Drosophila melanogaster: one gene and its partner. The protein of the gene in region 1 purifies or fractionates together with the protein of each later gene. This does not show direct contact. Each region holds a gene or a part of one and is shown on either strand. Other genes may lie near its edges. The genes, in order: CG12024 and CG3529.

Region 1 (4,424 bases):
AGTACTTGAAAAGTTTTTGTAATTTTATTTCTGCGCTTCTAATTTTGGGCACAATCTCGGATTTAGGCACTCGGATTCCTACTAAACGCGTTCTGCTCTGGCGGCGAACTAACTCATCGAATCCCACCAGCACCGACTCAAGTCGGTTGGAGCCTTCGGCCGCGATCTTCGTGCGCTTGTCGTGCCACGCTTTTGACAAATCGACCGATAAAGCCAAGATTTATGATCGGTGGGCCATATAGTTGGCGCTGCTGACTGCGCTACAGCACTGGGGATGGGTCATTTGGGTGCGCTGTGTCAGCAAATTAAGTCACTTGAATTATGTACCACTTCGATCTCTGAACCGTAAGTATTTTACTATCATCTAGGGCGTACTCCCTCGCCCGGTTCGTTAACTCAGGGCTTTGGGACTTCAAGGTGATTTGAGCAAGGTTTTTATAGTCTGTGCACTGGGATGATAGTGCCAGGGTGAGATTCGGAAAATGTTCCCACATGAACCAGTACTTCAACTGTAGGTCATTAAACTCGTCATGACTTAGCTGGAATATTTTAAATGTTAATTGGGTCAATGTCGACTTGCAGTTTTTCAACAGCGGAAGCTGAGATCGCAAAAGGCATTTCCAAACTCATGGAATTCAAATGAAATCATCACATGATTTGAGTTCCTTACACATTTTGGGTACATGTAAATATGACCCATTGTGCAGGGTGAACCTGTCACAAATGTAAATAAAATATTTTTAATGAGACATTAAGATTAATTGGGCACTTGTAAATAGAACCAACCCATTGTGGGATGTGCCTTTCACAAATCTAAATAAAAATGTTTAATCTATCATACAAGGGGGTTAAAAATAAAGTTTATACGAAAATAGCATGGAAATTTACACATGTCCATCGCATAGATAACTACACCGATCTCTTATCTCTTATGCGTACCTAATCATTCGCGTATCTCGGCAAATCTTCATTATAAAAATCCAAAAAAATATGACGCAACACCTTGCCCGGATTAAGTCACACAGAAACCCAAATTAATTGGGGGTGCCGTCGCATAAAAATCTTTAATTAAAATTTTCGACGTATTTTAAAGATTGTGTTTTGCTTATATAGAATCTCCCCCGAGTCATTTCCCAAATATAATGCGTCTTAAAAGCAAAGTCCCAGTAGACAGCAATTAATTCCGTCTAGTCTATAATTGGATGATCCGAACTCTCGAAACCTCTTGTCTGATCCGAAAATATCGGAAGGTAGCCCACGCTTCTTCCGCAGACTTTGTGATTAAATTGAAATTTATGGTTTCATCACCTCTATTCCGAACCCAAATCCGGCGGGGGTGTCTCGCTCATCACTTGTCCGACTGATTCTGATAAGCGGGCTCTTTGGACACCGCCCAGAGCTGATAGCAAATTAAGTGGCAGCCATATCAGTGCTAATTGACACTTATTAAAACGCGACCGACTGAACCGACACTGCTTGCCGGAACAAAGGCACCAGCACGTGCCGCCAATTATCAGCCACTCGAGTTGAGGATATCACGTGACAGCCGATGTGGCTGCTTCACTGAGTCATCTGTCGGATAACTTTCTCAAACTTCCATAAACAATGCACTAAATTGAACTTTATTGATACGGTCGCATAAAACCAGTTTGAATTGCCGCCAAAGCCGGACTTAACCGCTTTGCAACACTGCCAGTGTTAGATGTTGTGGTTGTAGAGTACCTCAGAAATAAGCTTTCCTCACTTCTTTGAACATGTGTAATCGCTGAATTGTAATATCCTCGCATGTATCCAAATTCATGATAGAGTATTGCTTGATGTTGCTAAAACACTTCAATATTTAAGTTATTTGTTAGTAATAATATTCTTGTTCAGCAATCTGGATTATTGTAAGGGCCAAGTAATTCTTATCAACTTATCTGTCACCAGTAGGAACCCCCTGTTTGTTGGCAGAATTAAAGAACATTCGCTCTGGTCACACTGCTCCGTCAATTGGACTGTGGGGGCGAAAATAAAAATAAGAATAATCATGTCAACGCTGCAGCTGGAATTTTCGCAGGCAATGACCGACTTTAAGAAGATGTTCCCGGACATCGACCGCGAGGTGATCGAGGCCATCCTGCGGGCGAACCTGGGGGCCGTGGACCAGACCATCGACGCCCTGCTGGCCATGTCGATTGACAACCAGGTGAGTGGAGGCGCCTGTGTATACTAACGTCTATGCTGTACTAACCCACTAACGAACGCAGAACGAGAAACTGCGCAATGAACTGGATGCTAATGTCTCGCCCCAGCAGAGCCTCATCAACCTGAACGACTCGGACAGGGACCTGCAGCTGGTGGACACCACGGACGGCGGAGGAGCGGGTGCAGTCGGTGCACCTGGAGCACCCAGTGCGCTGTTACCGACGGCCGGTGCATCGCCGAACCATCAGAACACGGGCGCTTCGCCCAAGCAGCGCCCGCTGGGAGCGGCCAACAGCAAGGGAAGCAGCCAGAACAACACGCCCACCAAACGCAGCAGGCGTTGGAATCCGCCCATCCTGGGTCCACTGCCTGCGGGCTTTCTGCGCATAACGCCCGCTCCCGGGCAGCAGGACTTCGAACTGCCGGACGAACAGTTCGCCCTGATGCTGCAGAACGAGGAGTTCATGAATCAGCTGCGCTGGAATCAGGACTTCATGAACGCCCTCGAGAAGGAGCAGAGCGGCAAGGCTAAGGGCGAGGACGACGCACCCTTCCAGGAGCGGCTCAAGAACATGGGCAAGATGTCGCGCAAGAAGTTCCTGCAGATGGCCCGAGTCTTCACCTGGCAGCGCAACAAGAAGGTGACCACGGCCAAGCAGATAGACTCCTTGCCGCTGCGCGAAGAGCCCAGCGACGACGAGGATCACCACCACCAGCAGCGTGATCAGCAGCAAGCGAGCCAGTCCAGCCAGCAGCAGGGTCAACTGCAGCTGCGCAAGTGAAGCGGATCGTTTTGTTATCTAATCTCAACGGCCATAACGTGACGATCACGTGCGCTAGTAATCTCCCCAGTTCCCCAGTCCAAAGTAATCTCCGGGCAAGAACGAAATCTGAAATCTCCTATCCCAATCTCGACACAAAGATGCGATGGTATTACCCTAGTTTTAACCTTAAGTGCAATTTTTACCCTACCGTGCAATACCCCCATATACCCATACATATATTCCTTGTTTGTATACGTTTTGTTTACCCTTTCGTTGTTGCCAAATTAGCGTAGTTAAGTTTTATGCATAATTTGTAATCGATACTAAGGCGGCCTCTTTTAAGCCGCGATTGCTAGAGATTGCTAGAAAGCCACACTCACTCACACGTTCGACTGATTATAAAAAGCGTTAATTAACAAGCATCACACCAGGAATCGGAGGCGAGTCCCCCAGTATAGCACTTTGCTTAGCCCAAAACCTAGTCATGAAGCGGAACTCGAGCCACTTATTGTACAGTAATAGAAACTACCACGTAACTCTGTCTTAAAATTCACTTTCTACATTTTAACTGCTGGCGAGCGATTCGCCGGCTTCTACGAAAAGCATGCATTATGATTGTATATCTCAACCCGCGAATCTCTCGGAACTTGCATACCATATCAGCTGTGGATACAATGCGGTTTTACTACTCCTACGCCCCAACTTAACTCCGAATCGATCCTATCGCAGATCTTACGCTGGATTAACATGCGTGCTATAAACTAGCAGAATATTATAATTATAAAGACGAGCTATTTGATTGTAATTGTATATGTATAAATATTTGAATAACAACCTTATATAACTATTCCAAGTATCAAATACAGATATTTCAAAACTTCAATGCAATCGTCTTGTCTTTAACTTCTGAATGAACTATGCTAAGAATAAGGCATACGCTCCACAAATGAATTTATTTAATTTTTATTTTGTTTTTGCATTTCCTTTTTAATTTTTTATAAACATAATACATTTATTAATAATTAAAAGATGCTCGATCATGTCGACCTACTGCGTCGCGAATTCGGGACTGCCAGGATTCTGAGATCAGAGGCTCTGTGTGGGGTCCCAAAAACGCGACCAGTAGGGAAACAAGTTCGAAAAAATGGTTTTTCAATTACATTTTTCACACGCTCATTATTACATTATGTTATTGTAACGGTTGGTTTGTTTGTTGTTTATTATGTTCAAAAATGATTTGTATCTTTATCATATATTTAATATATACGCTTGGGCTTAGGTTTTATTTAGTTTACTTTTAATGTTGGTTGTTGGCTGTGTTTAGACTTTGATTTAAGGGCATATTGGTTACTACTCGTACGCGAAGTTTATGCAATGTTTATTATGAAATATTTGTAAATTACTTCGTTTTTAGGTTTCTTTTCATTTTGGGATTGACACGACAGTTTAGTTTGTGTTAAACCATTTCTTATG
Region 2 (6,356 bases), 7.6 Mb from region 1:
GGAAAACAAAATGTGTAAAGAGTTTCTTGACAGTCTCAAAAGTGTGTAAACTTGGAATTTGTTGTTTATTTTCTTGTATATTTAATATTTTTAATTTGTTTTTTGATTTATAAGTAAAATAAATATTGTTTAATTATATTTTATAAAAAAATTGCGTTTAATTAAGCAAAAAACCCTTTATTTTTAGCTTTAAAGTCAAAAATTCAACTTATTTCACAGTGTGTAAACAGTTTCTTGACAAACTGTATGTGTCGCAAAGAATTCCGGGGAAAAACACGTTTCTTCTCAGTTTATACCCTACGTGCGAGGCATATGATTTGTCCTATCAGCCTGTTGGAACCGCTAACTCATATATTCCTTAATCTAACCAAAAACAAATTTTGCGTCGTATTTGTGAATAATGCACCGATTGATTTGATTGATTGCTTTAAGAGCGGCAGAGAGCAAAGATTACAGATAATAGGATAATGACTATTATAGTCAGAACACAATATTCTGTAAGAATCATGCAACTTATAGTTAGATCTAAATGGGCTTAAGATTATGGGTCTTGGAACAGAGAAGTTTAGCCGACTAACCAAGTCGGGACTATCAAAATATAAGTCTCAAAGCCTCACTCACTAATATACCCTACGTTCTCTTCTTTCAGAGGACGAATCCTATGAACTGTCCTCGGAAATCTGGGCCGTCGACATGGAGATCACTGACAGCGAGACCGACGACGTGCCCGTCAGCAGGAGCGTTAGCGTCAGCGCGAACGTCAGCGGGAACGTCAGCGGGAACGTCAGCGGGAAAGTCAGCGGGAACGCTAGAGGAGCCTTCAGCGGGACCCTCAGCCAGACCGTCAGCGCTACCGTCAGCGGGACCGTCAGCGCGACCGTCATTGGATTGGTCATCAACGAGTTCGTTCCAATGCCATTCAGTGGGACTCTCAGCGGGATCCTCAGCGGAACCCTCAGCGGGACCGTCGAAGGGACCATCAGCCGGACCGTCGACGGGGCCGTCAGCACGACCGGCAGCGGAACCATCGAAGGGACCGTCAGCGGAACCGTCAAGGGGACCGTCCGTGGGGCTATCAACGGGACCATCAGCGGAACCATCAGTGGGACCGCCAGCGGTACCGTCAGAAGGACCGCTGACGGAAAGCTCATTTTTGAGACAGGTGCAAGGTTGAACAATCGAAAATTCATTATCCACGAAATCTGTGGAATGAATTGTGAAATAACTCTTTGAAATTACAAAGTTTTTGAGATACATAACACGCTCTGTGAACAACCATGACTATGAGGTACCCGTTACTCAGCTAGTCGGATTGCGAATAAAATGAGAAAAAATTAAAATTGTTTAAAGATGTGGGTGTGATTACAATCCAAAAGGTGCAAGGTGCAAGGTGAACAATAAAACTAAGAACAATCTAATGTGGGCGTTGGAGTGGTCATGGAAACATGGGTCAACAATCTTGGGCTGCGTCTATGTCTCTGGAATCTGCACGCTTAATCTAAACATTCTAGCTTAAATAGTTCCTGAGATCTCGACGTTCAAACGTACAGACAGGCGGACATCGCCAGATCGACTCGGCTACTGATCCTGATCAAGAATATATATACTTTATATGGTCTGCCTGTTACATACTTTTCAACGAATCTAATAAACCCTTTTACTCTACGAGTAACGGGTATAACTATGTCATTATCTCAAAAACTGTGGATAATTCTTTTAAATAAAATGAAATAAAATGCTGCAGCCCTGGAAAAAAACCTATTCCTATTTACCCACTTATTGTAATGCATTTCTTTGTGGGTATTTTTCGCTGAGGCCAGCCATGGTCACTCTGCTGTAGACAAGTGCATAAACATTTCATCCAGGTGAACAAAAAGTAAATAAAGAACAATTTTAACCGCACTGCAACCCAACGGCGAGCATTAATAAGAAACTTCTCCACGATGGCTTCATTTTTCAACGTTGGCGCCTTGGGAAATGTTTTCTCCACTCCAGTTGGCCAGCGCATAGGTGAGTAAACCACCCTCCCCCCTCCAGCGTAAAAAAAACACCCACCGGAAGCGGGGGTGTGTGTATATGTGGTTAAAGCGTAATATTTTCCACAAATACAACGCATATGCGTTGATATTTACGCATTTACATTGATAGTTATCTGATTAGAGGACGCTTCAAGGCAGTCCCAATCAGACTGGGCCATTGGAAAATTGAATTTTCACAACTTTCTTCGTGCGTTTGCTTGTTTTCTTGTTTTGTTGTTGGTCTCTCACACACACGCGCACATTTCCATGTAGCGATACTCATTTGTTGTTGCCAGACCATTACTATGGCAAAGCGGTCTGATTTGATTTGAAAGGCGGTGGCAACAACGGTGGGCCTCTGATAAGATTAACCCTTATATGAGTATGCGGTTCCAACAGGCAGGTGTGACAAATCAGATAAATGTTTGTTGGTATGCTTTATGAAATTGCTCACCTTTTGGCACGCACACAAAGAGTATTGTTATTGATGCGCTCTTTTATTGTTTGATTGCCTGTTTTCCCTTCACCCCCTCCTGGCGGCCACCTGTTTTGCGCCCTTAGTAATCGCAATTAGTCATCGTTGCCGCTGGCCGCTGGGTTACATAAAAAAATGTGTTAATTTATTTCGTGTTCCCCTTTGGCTCGCATTTTCGCCATAATTTCCATTTGCCGCTGCACACACAACAAACACAGATACACACATTTACGTGCAATCGTGCATATGTATTAGTGCCGTACTAATTTGTTGCTTCGCTTTTTTTATGAGCTCACATTTTGTTATTGTATTGCGGTTGGTTAGCTTTTCCCATATCTCCTATATCTGTTGGATATCAGTGTTACGATATCTGATATCTGAGAAATACACTTTGCGCAATGGTTTCGTTTTGGATTTAAACAAATTGCTTTGTGCATTTTTAATTCGAGCAAGTCATTGCACTTGGTAGATCCTAAATTATAAACGAAAGATAATGCTCGCCCACCTGTTAAAAAACACAGTTTCAGCCGCCCATAAAAACAAACAAAGGAATGCAAATTGTTTACTTGGGTTTTCACACAGAAAACGAAAAAAATAATTACATCTTTCGGATCAAAAACCGCACAATTTACTTGGAATTATAATTAAATATATTATTATAATTAAAATGTAACGAGCGTTTTCAGAAATAAGATACAAATTTAAAAAAAAAAAATAGGGATACCTTTTTTGTTTTTGTATTTATATTACATGAAATATTGTTGCAGTTTTTTTTTCTGGAAGAACGATAGATTTAAAAAGATCTTAAGGTGTCAACTAATACTTACCTTCTCACCTTTCAGAGGCCGCCACCGATGCCAACCTGGCCTCGGAGAACTGGGCCGCCAACATGGAGATCTGCGACATGATCAACGAATCCTCCGACACTGCACGCGATGCTATGCGTGCCATTCGCAAACGCCTCTCCCAGAACGCCGGCAAAAACAACCAGGTGGTGATGTACACGCTGACCGTCCTGGAGACATGCGTGAAGAACTGCGGCAAGGCCTTCCATGTCCTGGTGGCCCAGAAGGACTTCATCAACGAGCTGGTCAAGCTGATTGGGCCCAAGAACGATCCACCAGCCGCCATGCAGGAGAAGGTTCTCAGTCTGATACAAATCTGGGCGGATGCGTTTAAGAACCAACCGGATCTCAACGGCGTCACCCAGATGTACATGGAATTGAAAAACAAGGGCATCGAGTTTCCAGCCAACGATCTGGATGCCATGGCACCCATTTACACGCCACAGAGGGTGAGTCGCTGAGGAATCCTCTTTACTTTAACCATAATAAATGCTTTCATATGCCTTTTAGAGTGTTCCCGAGATGCCCCCTCAGCTGGTGGCCGCTCAGCAGCACACAATCTCGCCTCAACACATGGCTGCCGCTGCTGCCGCCGCAGCTGCAGCCGCAGCTCCACCCAGCACAGGTCCTTTGCATTTGACTCCCGAGCAAGCGGCTAAGCTGCGCTCCGAACTGGAGATCGTTAGCAACAATATGTCCATCCTCAGCGAGATGCTCAGTGTTCTGAAGCCCGGCCAGGAGTCGCCCGATGACTATGCCCTGCTCAATGAGCTCACCTCGACCTGCAAGGAGATGCAGTCTCGCATCGTGGATCTGATTGGACGTGTCCAGGACGACGAGCTCACCGCGGAGTTCCTGCGCATCAATGACGAGCTGAACAATGTGTTCTTGCGCCACCAGCGTTACGAGAAAAATCGTTCGCAGGGCCAGGGTGCTGGTGTTACCTCGCCCTCGGCTGTGCTGGGCGCAGCCATGGGCCTGCCCGGTGTGGGAGCAGCTGGAGCAGGAGCCACCACGGTGGCTACGCTACCACCTCCGCCCACAACTACCGCCGTGAGCAATACGCCGCAAAGTGACCAACTGCTGATCGATCTAATCGAAAGCAGCGAGGAAGCCCAACTGCCACAGAGTTTGGGACAGATCAGCCTGGGTGGTGGAGCACCCATTGGGGTGCAGAGGAGCGCACGACCTGCCGATGAATTCGATATGCTGGCACAGTCGCGCACCGATGGCAACCAGTCAGTAAAGAGTGCTTTCCAATCGAGCTCATCAAGTATTAACAATAATTCTTTTTTTAGTAAATCGGACTTGCTGCGGGACATTCCCTCGGTGGACGCTGCTGCTGGGAGTGTGACTGCCACCGCCTCGCCTTACAAACCAAATCAACCGCAGCAGGCACAGCGCTCAGCCGGCGAACCGCCGGTGGTAAGTAAAGTGAGTAACTAGCCGCCGGACAGCCGGTCTAACTAATGGCGTTCGATTTGTTCCCTTACCTTTTGACCTCGTTTTCGCCATTGATTTACACTATGTGTCTAAATTTGAAAATATGTTTTGGTTCTTTTTTGTTCTATGCAAATTGCGTTTGGTTTTCGTTTCGTTTTGTTGTTCGGTTGGCGCCCACACACAGTCGACGAAAGAGAATGAGATCGACGAGATGGAGGCGTGGTTGGGCAGCTCAGTAAGTAGCCATTCGAATAGCATTTTGTCTTTTTCTAAGCTCATCTTACCATGCACTCGGCTTCAGTTTCTCGATTTACATACTATTCCTTTGCTTCTTAGCTTCTGTCATCCATTTTCGAGTACTTAATATGACTAATGAGTCATTTGTTTCCACCACACAGCACATCGAGGGAATTGAGGAGCTGACCAGCTCGGAGTTTGACAAATTCCTAGAGGAGAGAGCCGCTGCCGCCGAGAATCTTCCAACGATCAGTGCATCGAACTCCGCCGCCAGTGCCACGACAGGATCGGCAGGAGCCGATAGCTTACGAAAGACACCAAAGAAACCGGGCGCCGAAGAGGATCTGCTCGCGCTCTGAGTGATCTCCGCCAGCACCATCATCGGCTCTAATTGTTTACTCTTTCAAATGTTATACACACCCTAACATACTTATCCGTAACGTCTATTTGATAGCAGATACATAGTAACACTTTATGTAAAATGCTTTTATTTTTTACAAAAACAGCAACGATAACTATTGATTATATTCCAAAAAAACAAGCGATCTTTTGTTGGTCTAATTGTAAGCCACGTCTACACATTGATGGTAATTTAATGTATTACGTTACAAGTCTATTTGTTGTTTATTTATACATACATTATAAAGCTAATTTATTTTACAAAATCGAAAAGAAAAACTAAAACAAAATGGAAATACATTTCAAGCACATACCGATTTCGTCTTTGTTTAAATATTTATATTACTAAGGGGCTTAATCTGAGTCGTTATCTATATTCATGACTTGAGTAGCTGCTCCGTAGGCATCGTCCTCGTCATCAGAAAAAATCCTTTGATTATTCTTTGCTCTTGATACTTTCCCGGATCGTTTTTCCAACTGACTCTCTAAATCCCGGATGTGGGCCTTTTTGCTGTTCAAAAGCAGCAGGAATTTCTTGAGAAGTTCCTCCTCCTTCAGCTTGCTGTCCCTCACATACTTTTCATATTCAGCCAGGGATGCGGTTGTCTGGGCGTCGGATTCGGTGGCTGGAGCTGCTTGTGGCTTCTGCTGACCAGCTTCGATGGCTGCATCCAGCATCTGGTAGCAGTTGGAGACTTTTCTAAGCGGAACATCCAAGTACAGCGTTTCGTATCCTTCGCATTTGTACACTTTGAACGCTGGTTTTTCGACATCTTCCATGGATATTTCATAATCAAATCCTTGGAGTCCCATGTGCGTAGTTACGGCACTTTTGCACTCCGCAAAGAAAGCATCGTAGGCCTGTTCCAATTCACTGGCTCCACTTCGAAACTCATCGTATTTTACAATTGACCGGTAGTTTTGATTGTCAGAAGTGGT

What was found.
Region 2: the proteins of CG12024 (region 1) and CG3529 purify together in Drosophila melanogaster (affinity purification with mass spectrometry, with the first as the bait; one large-scale study listed by BioGRID). This does not show direct contact.

The regions. Positions count from the first base shown.
Region 1 is NT_037436.4:1,855,216-1,859,639, forward strand, and holds CG12024 (uncharacterized protein), read left to right. Parts: upstream 1-1,949; 5' UTR 1,950-2,029; coding exon 2,030-2,188; intron 2,189-2,249; coding exon 2,250-2,969; 3' UTR 2,970-3,832; downstream 3,833-4,424.
Region 2 is NT_037436.4:9,445,053-9,451,408, forward strand, and holds CG3529 (uncharacterized protein), read left to right. Parts: upstream 1-1,811; 5' UTR 1,812-1,943; coding exon 1,944-2,010; intron 2,011-3,335; coding exon 3,336-3,787; intron 3,788-3,848; coding exon 3,849-4,576; intron 4,577-4,636; coding exon 4,637-4,772; intron 4,773-4,965; coding exon 4,966-5,016; intron 5,017-5,179; coding exon 5,180-5,377; 3' UTR 5,378-5,733; downstream 5,734-6,356. Other genes in the region: Srg3 (Sting-regulated gene 3), read left to right, coding at 650-1,233; CG3448 (uncharacterized protein), read right to left, coding at 5,772-6,356.